3 linked regions of the Xenopus tropicalis genome follow. The protein of the gene in region 1 binds, or shares a complex with, the protein of each later gene. Links are inferred from orthologs where the notes say so. Each region holds a gene or a part of one and is shown in the gene's direction. Other genes may lie near its edges.

Region 1 (2,138 bases):
TTTTCTGCCAAAAGGTGCCATAGATTGCTTAAGCATTACAATCTCTTTTTCTAGATGAGGTGCGCACTGGCACATACCGCCAACTCTTCCACCCAGAGCAACTTATCACTGGAAAGGAAGATGCTGCCAATAACTATGCCCGTGGTCACTACACAATTGGCAAGGAGATCATTGACCTGGTGCTGGACAGGATCCGCAAACTGGTATGATTATTGTGACATTTCTTGGATCACATTCATAAAAAAGTCAGTCTACTTTACATCATAATAAAGTAGCCTTTATTACCTAAATGTTAGCTGTTAGTTAATCTAGTTATTTGTATGCAGTTCCATCTAGCTAGGCCATACAATAATAACCCCTCAGTTCTAAAAGCTTTGGGGTTGCTGTTTGTATTGTCAGATGCAGGACCATATCATAATTTTGTACTATTCTGTTTTATTCTTAGGCTGACCAGTGCACAGGTCTCCAGGGTTTCCTGGTCTTCCACAGCTTTGGTGGTGGTACTGGTTCTGGATTCACCTCCCTGCTGATGGAGCGTCTCTCTGTTGATTATGGAAAGAAGTCTAAACTAGAGTTCTCCATCTATCCAGCTCCTCAGGTCTCCACAGCTGTGGTTGAGCCCTACAACTCTATACTCACCACTCACACCACCCTGGAGCACTCTGACTGTGCTTTCATGGTAGACAATGAGGCCATTTATGACATCTGCCGCAGGAATCTAGATATTGAACGCCCAACCTACACCAACCTGAACAGGCTTATAGGCCAGATTGTGTCTTCCATCACAGCCTCTCTGAGGTTTGATGGAGCCCTGAATGTAGATCTCACAGAGTTCCAGACCAACTTGGTGCCCTATCCCCGTATTCACTTCCCTCTTGCCACCTATGCCCCTGTCATCTCTGCAGAGAAGGCTTATCACGAGCAGCTTTCTGTTGCTGAGATCACAAATGCCTGCTTTGAACCAGCTAACCAGATGGTGAAATGTGATCCACGCCACGGTAAATACATGGCTTGTTGCCTGTTGTACCGTGGTGATGTGGTACCCAAAGATGTAAATGCAGCTATTGCCACCATCAAGACAAAGCGTACCATCCAGTTTGTGGATTGGTGCCCAACTGGTTTCAAAGTTGGTATCAACTATCAGCCCCCAACTGTGGTTCCAGGGGGAGACCTGGCTAAGGTGCAGCGTGCTGTGTGTATGCTGAGCAATACCACTGCAATTGCTGAGGCCTGGGCTCGTCTGGACCACAAGTTTGATCTCATGTATGCCAAGCGTGCCTTCGTGCACTGGTATGTGGGTGAGGGTATGGAGGAGGGTGAGTTCTCTGAGGCCCGTGAAGACATGGCTGCCCTGGAGAAGGATTATGAGGAGGTTGGTGTAGACTCTGTGGAAGGAGAGGGTGAAGAGGAAGGAGAAGAATATTAAATGTCAAAACGGTGCTGCTTTTAACAGGGAACTTAAAACCATCCAAAAAATGCAAAATGTTTGATCAAGTTATTTTTATGTAGCTAATTTCTATGATATGTTTTTGCTGCATTAAAATGATTTGGTCTAAAACACTTGAAACTCTTGAAACAGATCCAGCCATTTATTTTTGTTGTGGATTTGACAATAAACACATTCCCTGTCATACAGAATTTCTATCTGTGGTTTTCCGTTGTGTTATATTGATTTCTTTCAGAGTCAGGTAGGGCTATCCAAAGGTCTAAAACAGTGCTGTCCAACTTCTGCGGTGCCAAGGGCCGGAATTTCTCTAGCATACATGGTCGAGGGCCGCTAATGGAAGCCAGTTTTGGCCACTCCCCTTTTTTGAATCACACCCATTTTATCACAATGGTGGTAGTGCAGCAAAAGCCCAAATGCTTGGTCCTCACTGCGGGGATATCAACAGTTATTCATATATGAAAGAATTATATTATGTCATATTAAGACATACCCTTACATCCATATGCCTCCTCCTCCCCTGTGGATAGCACAGCAACCCCCAGCACATAATTACACACCTTAGGGACCATATAATGGTGGTTTCCAACTACTAACAAACTCCCAGAACAAACCCCTGCCAGGTTCACCTCTCACAGTCAGCATAGGGCAGGCAGAGTATGGCACACACAGGCAGCACTCTGCCTCCCTTATG
Region 2 (3,931 bases), on another chromosome or scaffold:
TGTCACTAACAGAGAGTGCAGAGACAGACCCTACCTGTCACTAACAGAGAGTGCAGAAACAGAGACCCTACCTGTCCCTAGCAGAGAGTGCAGAGACCTACCTGTCACTAACAGAGAGTGCAGAGACAGACCCTACCTGTCACTAACAGAGAGTGCAGAAACAGAGACCCTACCTGTCCCTAGCAGAGAGTGCAGAAGAGACAGAGCCCTACCTGTCCCTAGCAGAGAGTGCAGAAACAGAGATCTACCTGTCCCTAGCAGAGAGTGCAGAGACCTACCTGTCACTAACAGAGAGTGCAGAGGAGACAGACCCTACCTGTCCCTAGCAGAGAGTGCAGAAACAGAGACCTACCTGTCCCTAGCAGAGAGTGCAGAGACCTACCTGTCACTAACAGAGAGTGCAGAGACAGACCCTACCTGTCACTAACAGAGAGTGCAGAAACAGAGACCCTACCTGTCCCTAGCAGAGAGTGCAGAGGAGACAGAGCCCTGAGAGCAGAAGAGACAGACCCTACCTTTCCCTAGCAGAGAGTGCAGAAGAGACAGACCCTACCTGTCCCTAGCAGAGAGTGCAGAAGAGACAGACCCTACCTGTCCCTAGCAGAGAGTGCAGAAGAGAGAGACCCTACCTGTCCCTAGCAGAGAGTGCAGAAGAGACAGACCCTACCTGTCCTTAGCAGAGAGTGCAGAAGAGACAGAGCCCTGAGTGCAGAAGAGACAGAGCCCTGAGTGCAGAGGAGACAGAGCCCTGAGTGCAGAGGAGACAGAGCCCTGAGTGCAGAGGAGACAGAGCCCTGAGTGCAGAAGAGACAGAGCCCTGAGAGCAGAAGAGACAGAGCCCTGAGTGCAGAAGAGACAGAGCCCTGAGTGCAGAGGAGACAGAGCCCTGAGTGCAGAAGAGACAGAGCCCTGAGTGCAGAGGAGACAGAGCCTACCTCTCTTTATCAGCCCGGTGAGGCCAGACGCCGCCATGCTGAGTCCCATAAGGGGAAGGTCACTGAGCGCTGCGCTTCCGGCTCACTCATTTCCTCCGGCAGCGAAAGCTCAAGGTTCCCGGGTACCACAGCGACACCTGCTGGTCACACTGCTAACTGCACTCTTCCCGTTATACAGCGGGCTGTGCGCTTTGCTATGGCTGACTGCAGGAAGCTCCGGTTGCCCTCTAGTGGTTTCTTAGCAACGGTTGCCAAGCAGTCAGGGATTGTTTAAACAGAAGTTGTTTCTCACACAAGCCGCCAGCCTCCTGCCCCAAGGGAACCCCAAGATGTCGGAGAGTCCAGCACAGGGAACATCCTCCGACCCCCAAACCTGCGACTTCTACAGGGTGAGTGAGTCTCTGCCCCCCAAGTTCAACCAACCAGAGACGTGGAGACGGGGGTACAGGTATGTGGCGCAATGCACTCTGGGAGTAGGGGTTTTACTGGCAGATCTGGGGCCCCTAAGGGCCAACTGAGTGATGGTTGCTATGTAATGGTCAGTGCTTACACTAGTAATGGTACAAATAAAGCGGGAGTTCACCTTTAAGCCAAGTTATAGAATGTCCTATTCCAAGCAAGTATGCAGTTGGTCTTCATTATTTATTGTCTATAGTTTATAAACTATTTTCCTAACTCTTCTACTTCTTTCAAATGGGGGTCACTGACCCCGGCAGCTTATCAACCGTCTGCTCTGTAAGCTTCCATTGTTATTATTGGTTTTTTTTATTCCGTATATTTTTATTCAGTCCCCCCTTCTATTCGTAGTCCTGTCTCAGATTCAAACCACTGGCTGGTTGCTAAGGGTAGCCAGGGCCCTAGCAACTAGGCGGCTGCTGAAATTCCAGCTGCTAAATACAAAGCTAAATGACTGAAACCCGCCAAAAAAAAATGAAGACCAACTGCAAAGTGTGAACATCCCCTTTAAAATGATTTTTTTCCAGTGACGGCCAATAGAGAGCCGGGGTTTCTGGAGCGATGATTGGGGAGGGACACTGTGTATAAAGATATATATATATATATATATACCCCAATACCTAACCCTGAACCCCTTCACCCCAATCCTCTGCCCCAAATCTCTTCCAGCGATACTCCCCTGTGCCCGGCAGAGAATGGTACAATCCGAGGGGGGCCGTCCACATAAAGGTTCCACCCAAGGTCAATTGCCCCAGTAGACAGCCCAGATGGGCCAGTAACCATAGTAACAGAACCCAGTAGGGGGGGCAGATGGATAATATCTTTCCGTTTCATTTCAGACCCAAGACTGACAACCCTTTATACAGAACCTCTAACCAGATATACGGGAGCCGACCCCCCACGGTCCATGAAATGCCGGTAAGCAAGCTGATTTATGTTTTGGGGGGGGGCATGGGGTGTAACTGCCCTAGGTCAGCTGATCTACAGCCAGTAAGGACTGTGTTGCTGCAATGCCCAATGGGAAACTAATATTCAGCCAGATATCAGTGGGTTGCTAAGGTAGATTAGACCCTAGCAACCAGATAACTGCTGCAATGCCAAATGGGAGAGCTGCTGAACAAAAAGTAAAACAATTAAAAAACTACATATAATAAAAAATGAAGACCAATTGCAAATTGTCTACATCGTACTGAAAGCTAATGTAAAGGTGAACAACACATTTGTGTAACTTTTACTACGATATAGAGAGTAATATTCTGAGAAAATTTGCAATTGGTCTTCATTTTTTTATTATTTGTAGTTTTTCAATTGTTTTACTTTTTGTTCAGCAGCTCTACCGTTTGGAGTTTCGGCAGTTATCTGGTTGCTAGGGTCTAATTTACCTTAGCAACCAGGGAGTGGTTTGAGAGCGTGACTGGTATATGAATAGGGGAGGGGCTGAATAGAAAGATAAGGAATAAAAAGTAACAATAACAATAAAACTGGAGCCTCACAGAGCAATAGGTTTAGGCTGCTGGGATCAGTTTGCAATTGGTCTTCATTTTTTATTTGTGGTTTTTTGAATTGCAGCAGCTATTTGGTTGCTAGGGTCCAAGTTACCTTAGCAACGAGGGTGTGATTTGAATTTAAGACTGATATGTGAATAGGGGAGGGGCTGAATAGAAAAATAAGATATAAAAAGTAACAATAACAATAAAACTGGAGCCTCACAGAGCAATAGGGTTTGGCTGCCGGGGTCGGTTATCCTGTTGCTAGGGCTCAAACTACCTTAGCAACCAGGGAGTGGTTTGGATGAGAGGCTGGAATATGAATTGAGGAGGGGCTGAATAGAAAAATAAGATATAAAAAGTAACAATAACAATAAAACTGGAGCCTCACAGAGCAATAGGTTTTGGCTGCTGGGGTCAGTTATCCTGTTGCTAGGGCTCAAATTACCTTAGCAACCAGGGAGTGGTTTGGATGAGAGGCTGGAATATGAATTGGGGAGGGGCTGAATAGAAAAATAAGATATAAAAAGTAACAATAACAATAAAACTGGAGCCTCACAGAGCAATAGGGTTTGGCTGCCGGGGTCAGTGACCCCCATTTGAAAGCTGCAAAGAATTCAAAGGCAAATAATTGAAAAACTATAAGAAATAAATAATGAAGACCAATTGAAAAGCTGCCATTCTATAACACACTAACAGTACATTTCCGTCGTTCCAGACGACGTTTAACGGCATCTCGGACAAATTTTCGGAGACAGCGGTGAAATGCGGCATGTACCGGAACCATGGGTTCAACACGTCCACGGAGAGGAGCTACGTGAGTGGGCCGGACAATCTCATCACCGCCGCCGATAGGCTGAATTTCCACCGGAGCTACAAACTCATGGGCCCCTCCCACTGAATGGGATTATGTAGGATATTATATATCTAGATACTTTGTCACCATCTTTTCTATGTCGGCTACATTTTCCCTATATCTGTGGGTTTAGGATCCATTAGCGGCTCCAGATCTGATTAAGCCCCGCCCCCCATTAGCGGCTCCAGATCTGATTA
Region 3 (4,184 bases), about 62 Mb from region 1:
ATTAAGTAGAATGTGGGCAGTACTGCCACAAATATGTTGGAGGGTGGGTGCTGCTGTTCCTCAATAACTGCTTAACTGCCATCAAAGCCCCCTCTTGATTCATTAAAACATTAATCATTTTTGTTACACCAGAGAATCTACCCATGTGTTGTACCTCTGAAACAATAGAAACATTCTTTAGCACACCACTTGCATACATCCATAAGGTGCTTCAATTCCTCGGCTGCTCCCAAGCCAATTTATGTACTTTACAAAGGGTAGAAGCACACCAATAGGTGCACCTGAAGAAGGGGGTAACCCCCAAAACCTTGTGCCACTTATTTTCTGCAATAAATGTGTTAGAGGCATGGCCGGTGTATTGGTGTGCTTCTTCCCTTTGTAAAGTATTGTACCTCTGAAAAGCATGTAAGGCACACAAGGAGCACTGTGTTTAAGGAACACTAGGGAGTGTCTCATAATGATGAACAAACAGCAATAACTGATTGTGGAGCATACCTAGAAGAAAAACAGACACTGACAGCGCCCCTCTATTTAAGCACAGCTGTCCTTGGATTAGCACAGGAGCACACATGAGAAAAGTGTGGTGCTGTACTAGTGGACTTTGAAACCTGCCCTGTGGGAAAAATCATTGTCCTTTGAGCAATTTAGTAGGGGTGTACAAATTAGGTCAAGTCAAGTGCTTTTAAGTACAGGTATGGGACCTGTTATCCAGAATGCTCGGGACCTGAAATTTTCCAGATAAAGGATTTTTCTGTAATTTGGATTTCCATAACTTGTCTGCTAAAAATAATTTAAATATTGAATAAACCCAATAGGCTTGTATTGCCTCCAATAAGCATTAATTATCTTAGTTGGGATCACGTACAAGGTAGCAAATTTTTTACCATTACGCAGTACGCAAGTTTTTCAACAGTTTTGCAATTTTTTTGGCAATGCGAAATGGGACGGATTCACTCATCACCACTCAGCAATTATTACTTTGTTTTTAACTATTATTATTGTTATCATTTAGACTTGATTCCAGCCAAGGCCCTATCAGCAGTTTGTATGTTCTCCCCTTTTTATACATTTTCTAAAATTACATTTGTTTCCTCCAAAACTACTCCTATTTAGAAAACCATGGAGGAATAACATTTATTTGGTTATATTGTCTATTTAAAACTGTATTTGTATTGTTCTAGTACAAATTATGATGGTCACTTCAGATGTTTCAGTTGCAAAAAAAAAAAAATAGGCACCCAAAAAAATGTCCAATTACAAAACAAACCCAAATGTGCATTTATAAAGTTTCAGTATAACTTTTTAGCTATTTATTGTCACATGCCCCTGCTCTTTGGCTACTGTCCAGTACTATGCTATCGTCTCCTAGCAACATGTCAACAAAAGGACAGCTATATGAGCCAAGAGAGCTGAGCATCGGCATCTGCTTCCAGAGACTGTCTCCATACACCCTACTCTGACATCAAATGCCACATTCCAGGGATCCATATCCTTTCACCAGATATGAGAATGATGACACTTTTCAGGGAAAAGAAATCCAGGTAGGATGTTACTTTTATAACCTTAATTTAGGAAATAGCAATAACTGCAAGCAGTGATGTCAAGTAAAATCAAGAAAACAGGACTGTTCTAGAGGGAAAAGTGGCAAACAAGTTTAAAACAAGGTACAATAGGCTCTGTGTTTCTGTTGTAAAAGAAAGAGTTTTTCATTCCATGATTTAGCTATACTATGAATTACTGCATCATCTGTCAAACTGAAATGTGCTAGAGGATAAAACCTTTTTTAAAAAAAATAATATAAGGATAGATGCAATGCAGAATGAGCAATTTCAATAAAAGTTTTCACCCCTCTGTATACATTGGCTTTAGTTATATGTTTTTATTCACTTAAAAATATCTTCTTAATATAAAGGAGTTTCAGTTCCATGAATGGGTTACTTGAGCACACCTATCTAGCACCAGATGGACGTCTGAAACCATAGTGGGCATTTTATTTCTGCTTTTTTTATTTATGTTTGTCTCTAGCAACAAAGTGATTTTGTTTTCTCTGTTGCTTGACAACTTCATCTGAATGGCAGCTTTCCTAAACGGATCACTTGCACAAAACGTCCTGACTTTATTACTCAGCACAAAACAAAATGTACAACATGAAACTAAGATGTTTTCTGCAGTGGCAGGTGCATCATCTCCAGTATTTGGAACAAACAATAGAAAATATAAGGTGCCTTTTATGTTTATTTATATAGCACCTAAAGAGATTGTTTTTCATTCATATCAGTCACTGGGTAAGTCACATATGCTACGGTCCATTTTATAAGGAGCCAATTAACCTGTCTCTATGTTGTTGGAAAACAACTGGAGGAAACCAAAAAGATATTGGGAAAACATACAAACAGAACCCAGCTCAGAGTTATAATAAACACCTTATAAGGTAGCACAAACCTACAAGATTAGTGCATTTAACTTGAACTTTAACTTTTAGCACTTCAGTGTCTAAAATACATACACATAAAAGTTATAAACCCCCTTTGGATTAATAAATGGTGGGACTGTCTACTCTGAACATGTAAATCATCTAATAATTTAAGATTCCAATAAATTTGAACATAAATGCAAAATAGATATGATGTACATCTGTATTTAAATGTAGTAAACCCTCCTGTAAGGCTACTTATAGGTGTGATTATATAGACAAATGTGACAGTAATACAAATATCATACAAATTTCTATTGTACTGGCATAATTTAAATTCTCCTGAGAAAGTGCAGTCATTACTGCACAAATGGCATAACGCCTATAAGCAACTCACCATTGTTTCATAATATAAAGTCTGTGTATTCTATTGCTGCTATTTTTAGGGGTATTTATTAAAATTTGAGATGAAGATCACCAGTGATGTTGCCCATTGCAGCCAATCAGATATTTGCTTTTGATTTCTAAAACTTAAATATAATTGCTGATTAGTTGGGCAACATCACCAGTGATCTTTGTCTCCAATGTTAATAAATACTCCCTTTATTTCTTGCATTGATGCACATGTTTATCAGAAGTTTGAATTATTAATTTAAGTGTCCTAAGCGGAGGTTATGAGTAAGCAGTCTCACTGTTTATGTTAAAAGAACATGGCAAGACCTGAATTTCCTGTTTAAAATGGGAAGTTTATCTTATACAGATACATGTGCTCTGTGACACAGCATGTAACACAACCTCTTCTTTGGATGGCATTTCTTTTTCCAGAAGGGGGTTAATGCAACTTTTTTGCCCATAAGCCACACTCAAATGTAAAGAGAGTTGGGGAGCAGCTCAAGCATTAAAAATGTTCATGAGTGCACCAAATAGGGGCTGTAGTTGGCTATTTGGTAGCTCCTATGTGGACGGGCAGCCTAAATGAGGTTCTGTTTGGCAGTGCAACTGTTTTTATGCAACCAAAATTTGCCTCCAATCCAGGAATTTAGGCCATTGGGGGCAACATCCAAGGGGTTAGGTAGAAACATGTTGCTCACGGATCACTGGTTGTGAATCACTGCTCTAGAGAGTACACGCAATTATTGTGAATATTGCTTCATTTGGCGACTGGGCTGACAAGGCTCTGGTGCTGTATGGGGTGGCCAGGCTCTAATGTAAAATATCTGTGTACATCATTAAACTGTAACTGTACAGTTAGAGCTGAAACATTATAAATAGATGTTGTTGGACTCATCCTTTAGCAAATATTTTATTATTATGTTTCAGCCATTTCTGGGCCATACCATAGCACATTATTGTCAACAGGGCAGAGCAACTACTTAATATGTAATAGCACACGACAGGCAACAGAGTGCATTTCCCACAGCAGCCACTCACCTCCTGATTCAATTGATTTGTAGAGATTGGATAGCACTCTTCAAATCTTAAATATTTAAAAACCTTTATTCATAGGCACAAAGCATGACAAACATTTGACAAAAGGCTTCTTTTACTGCTTTGTCTTGGCCTGTGGCCATTTGAGAGTAATTCTTAAATATTTATTTTTTCAAAATAGTGAACATAGCAATCTGGCAAAAAAGGTGGAAAACTTTATTCATTTTTGCATTTAATTATAACTAAAGCAATTTGTGAAGACATAACCAGAAAAAGGTTTCGCGTGTATTTAATTGATCAATAATGCAAGGACTGAACACATGGTCTCAAATTTCATTAAATT

What was found. The genes of interacting proteins can lie anywhere in the genome.
Region 2: the proteins of tuba1a (region 1) and c8h9orf116 are in contact, whole or in part, in a cryo-EM structure (PDB 7UNG), measured with the Homo sapiens proteins. The link is inferred for Xenopus tropicalis from reciprocal best matches to the Homo sapiens genes TUBA1A and PIERCE1. Residues at the interface, in NP_001257328.1 of Homo sapiens: Met1, Arg2, Gln15, Asn18, Ala19, Glu22, Cys25, Leu26, Glu27, His28, Gly29, Ile30, Gln31, Pro32, Asp33, Met36, Pro37, Asp39, Lys40, Asp46, Asp47, Ser48, Asn50, Glu77, Gly81, Thr82, Tyr83, Tyr224, Thr225, Asn228; in NP_001041730.1 of Homo sapiens: Tyr28, Pro35, Gly36, Arg37, Phe38, Trp43, Phe44, Arg45, Gly46, Tyr47, Arg48, Thr58, Ser59, Asn60, Gln61, Ala62, Tyr63, Gly64, Arg66, His71, Glu72, Pro74, Phe77, Tyr78, Pro79, Asn80, Ser81, Asn82, Lys83.
Region 3: the proteins of tuba1a (region 1) and c1orf194 are in contact, whole or in part, in a cryo-EM structure (PDB 7UNG), measured with the Homo sapiens proteins. The link is inferred for Xenopus tropicalis from reciprocal best matches to the Homo sapiens genes TUBA1A and CFAP276. Residues at the interface, in NP_001257328.1 of Homo sapiens: Lys112, Glu113, Ile115, Asp116, Leu117, Leu119, Asp120, Arg123, Lys124, Asp127, Arg156, Ser158, Val159, Asp160, Gly162, Lys163, Leu195, Glu196, His197, Ser198, Asp199, Tyr262, Pro263, Arg264, Trp346, Lys430, Asp431, Glu434, Val435, Val437; in NP_001231954.1 of Homo sapiens: Pro43, Trp44, Arg46, Leu47, Asn48, Thr50, Pro51, Thr52, Ile53, Thr54, Ser55, Arg57, Arg58, Ala60, Tyr62, Asp64, Ile67, Pro68, Lys69, Asp70, Asp71, Phe74, Arg75, Lys90, Ser91, Leu94, Leu95, Asn96, Lys98, Thr99.

Annotation. Positions count from the first base shown.
Region 1 is NC_030678.2:136,576,892-136,579,029, reverse strand, and holds the end of tuba1a (tubulin alpha-1A chain), read left to right. Parts: intron 1-54; coding exon 55-203; intron 204-445; coding exon 446-1,426; 3' UTR 1,427-1,638; downstream 1,639-2,138. UniProt on the Homo sapiens protein: Tubulin is the major constituent of microtubules, a cylinder consisting of laterally associated linear protofilaments composed of alpha- and beta-tubulin heterodimers.
Region 2 is NC_030684.2:7,004,187-7,008,117, forward strand, and holds the start of c8h9orf116 (UPF0691 protein C9orf116 homolog), read left to right. Parts: upstream 1-1,131; 5' UTR 1,132-1,264; coding exon 1,265-1,383; intron 1,384-2,230; coding exon 2,231-2,309; intron 2,310-3,596; coding exon 3,597-3,779; 3' UTR 3,780-3,805; coding exon of another isoform or gene 3,806-3,809; 3' UTR 3,810-3,931. Other genes in the region: mrps2 (28S ribosomal protein S2, mitochondrial), read right to left, coding at 936-972. UniProt on the Homo sapiens protein: Microtubule inner protein involved in the attachment of outer dynein arms (ODAs) to dynein-decorated doublet microtubules (DMTs) in cilia axoneme, which is required for motile cilia beating.
Region 3 is NC_030678.2:74,560,431-74,564,614, forward strand, and holds the start of c1orf194 (protein C1orf194 homolog), read left to right. Parts: upstream 1-1,384; 5' UTR 1,385-1,466; coding exon 1,467-1,541; intron 1,542-4,184. UniProt on the Homo sapiens protein: Microtubule inner protein (MIP) part of the dynein-decorated doublet microtubules (DMTs) in cilia axoneme, which is required for motile cilia beating. May play an important role for the maintenance of myelin-axon integrity.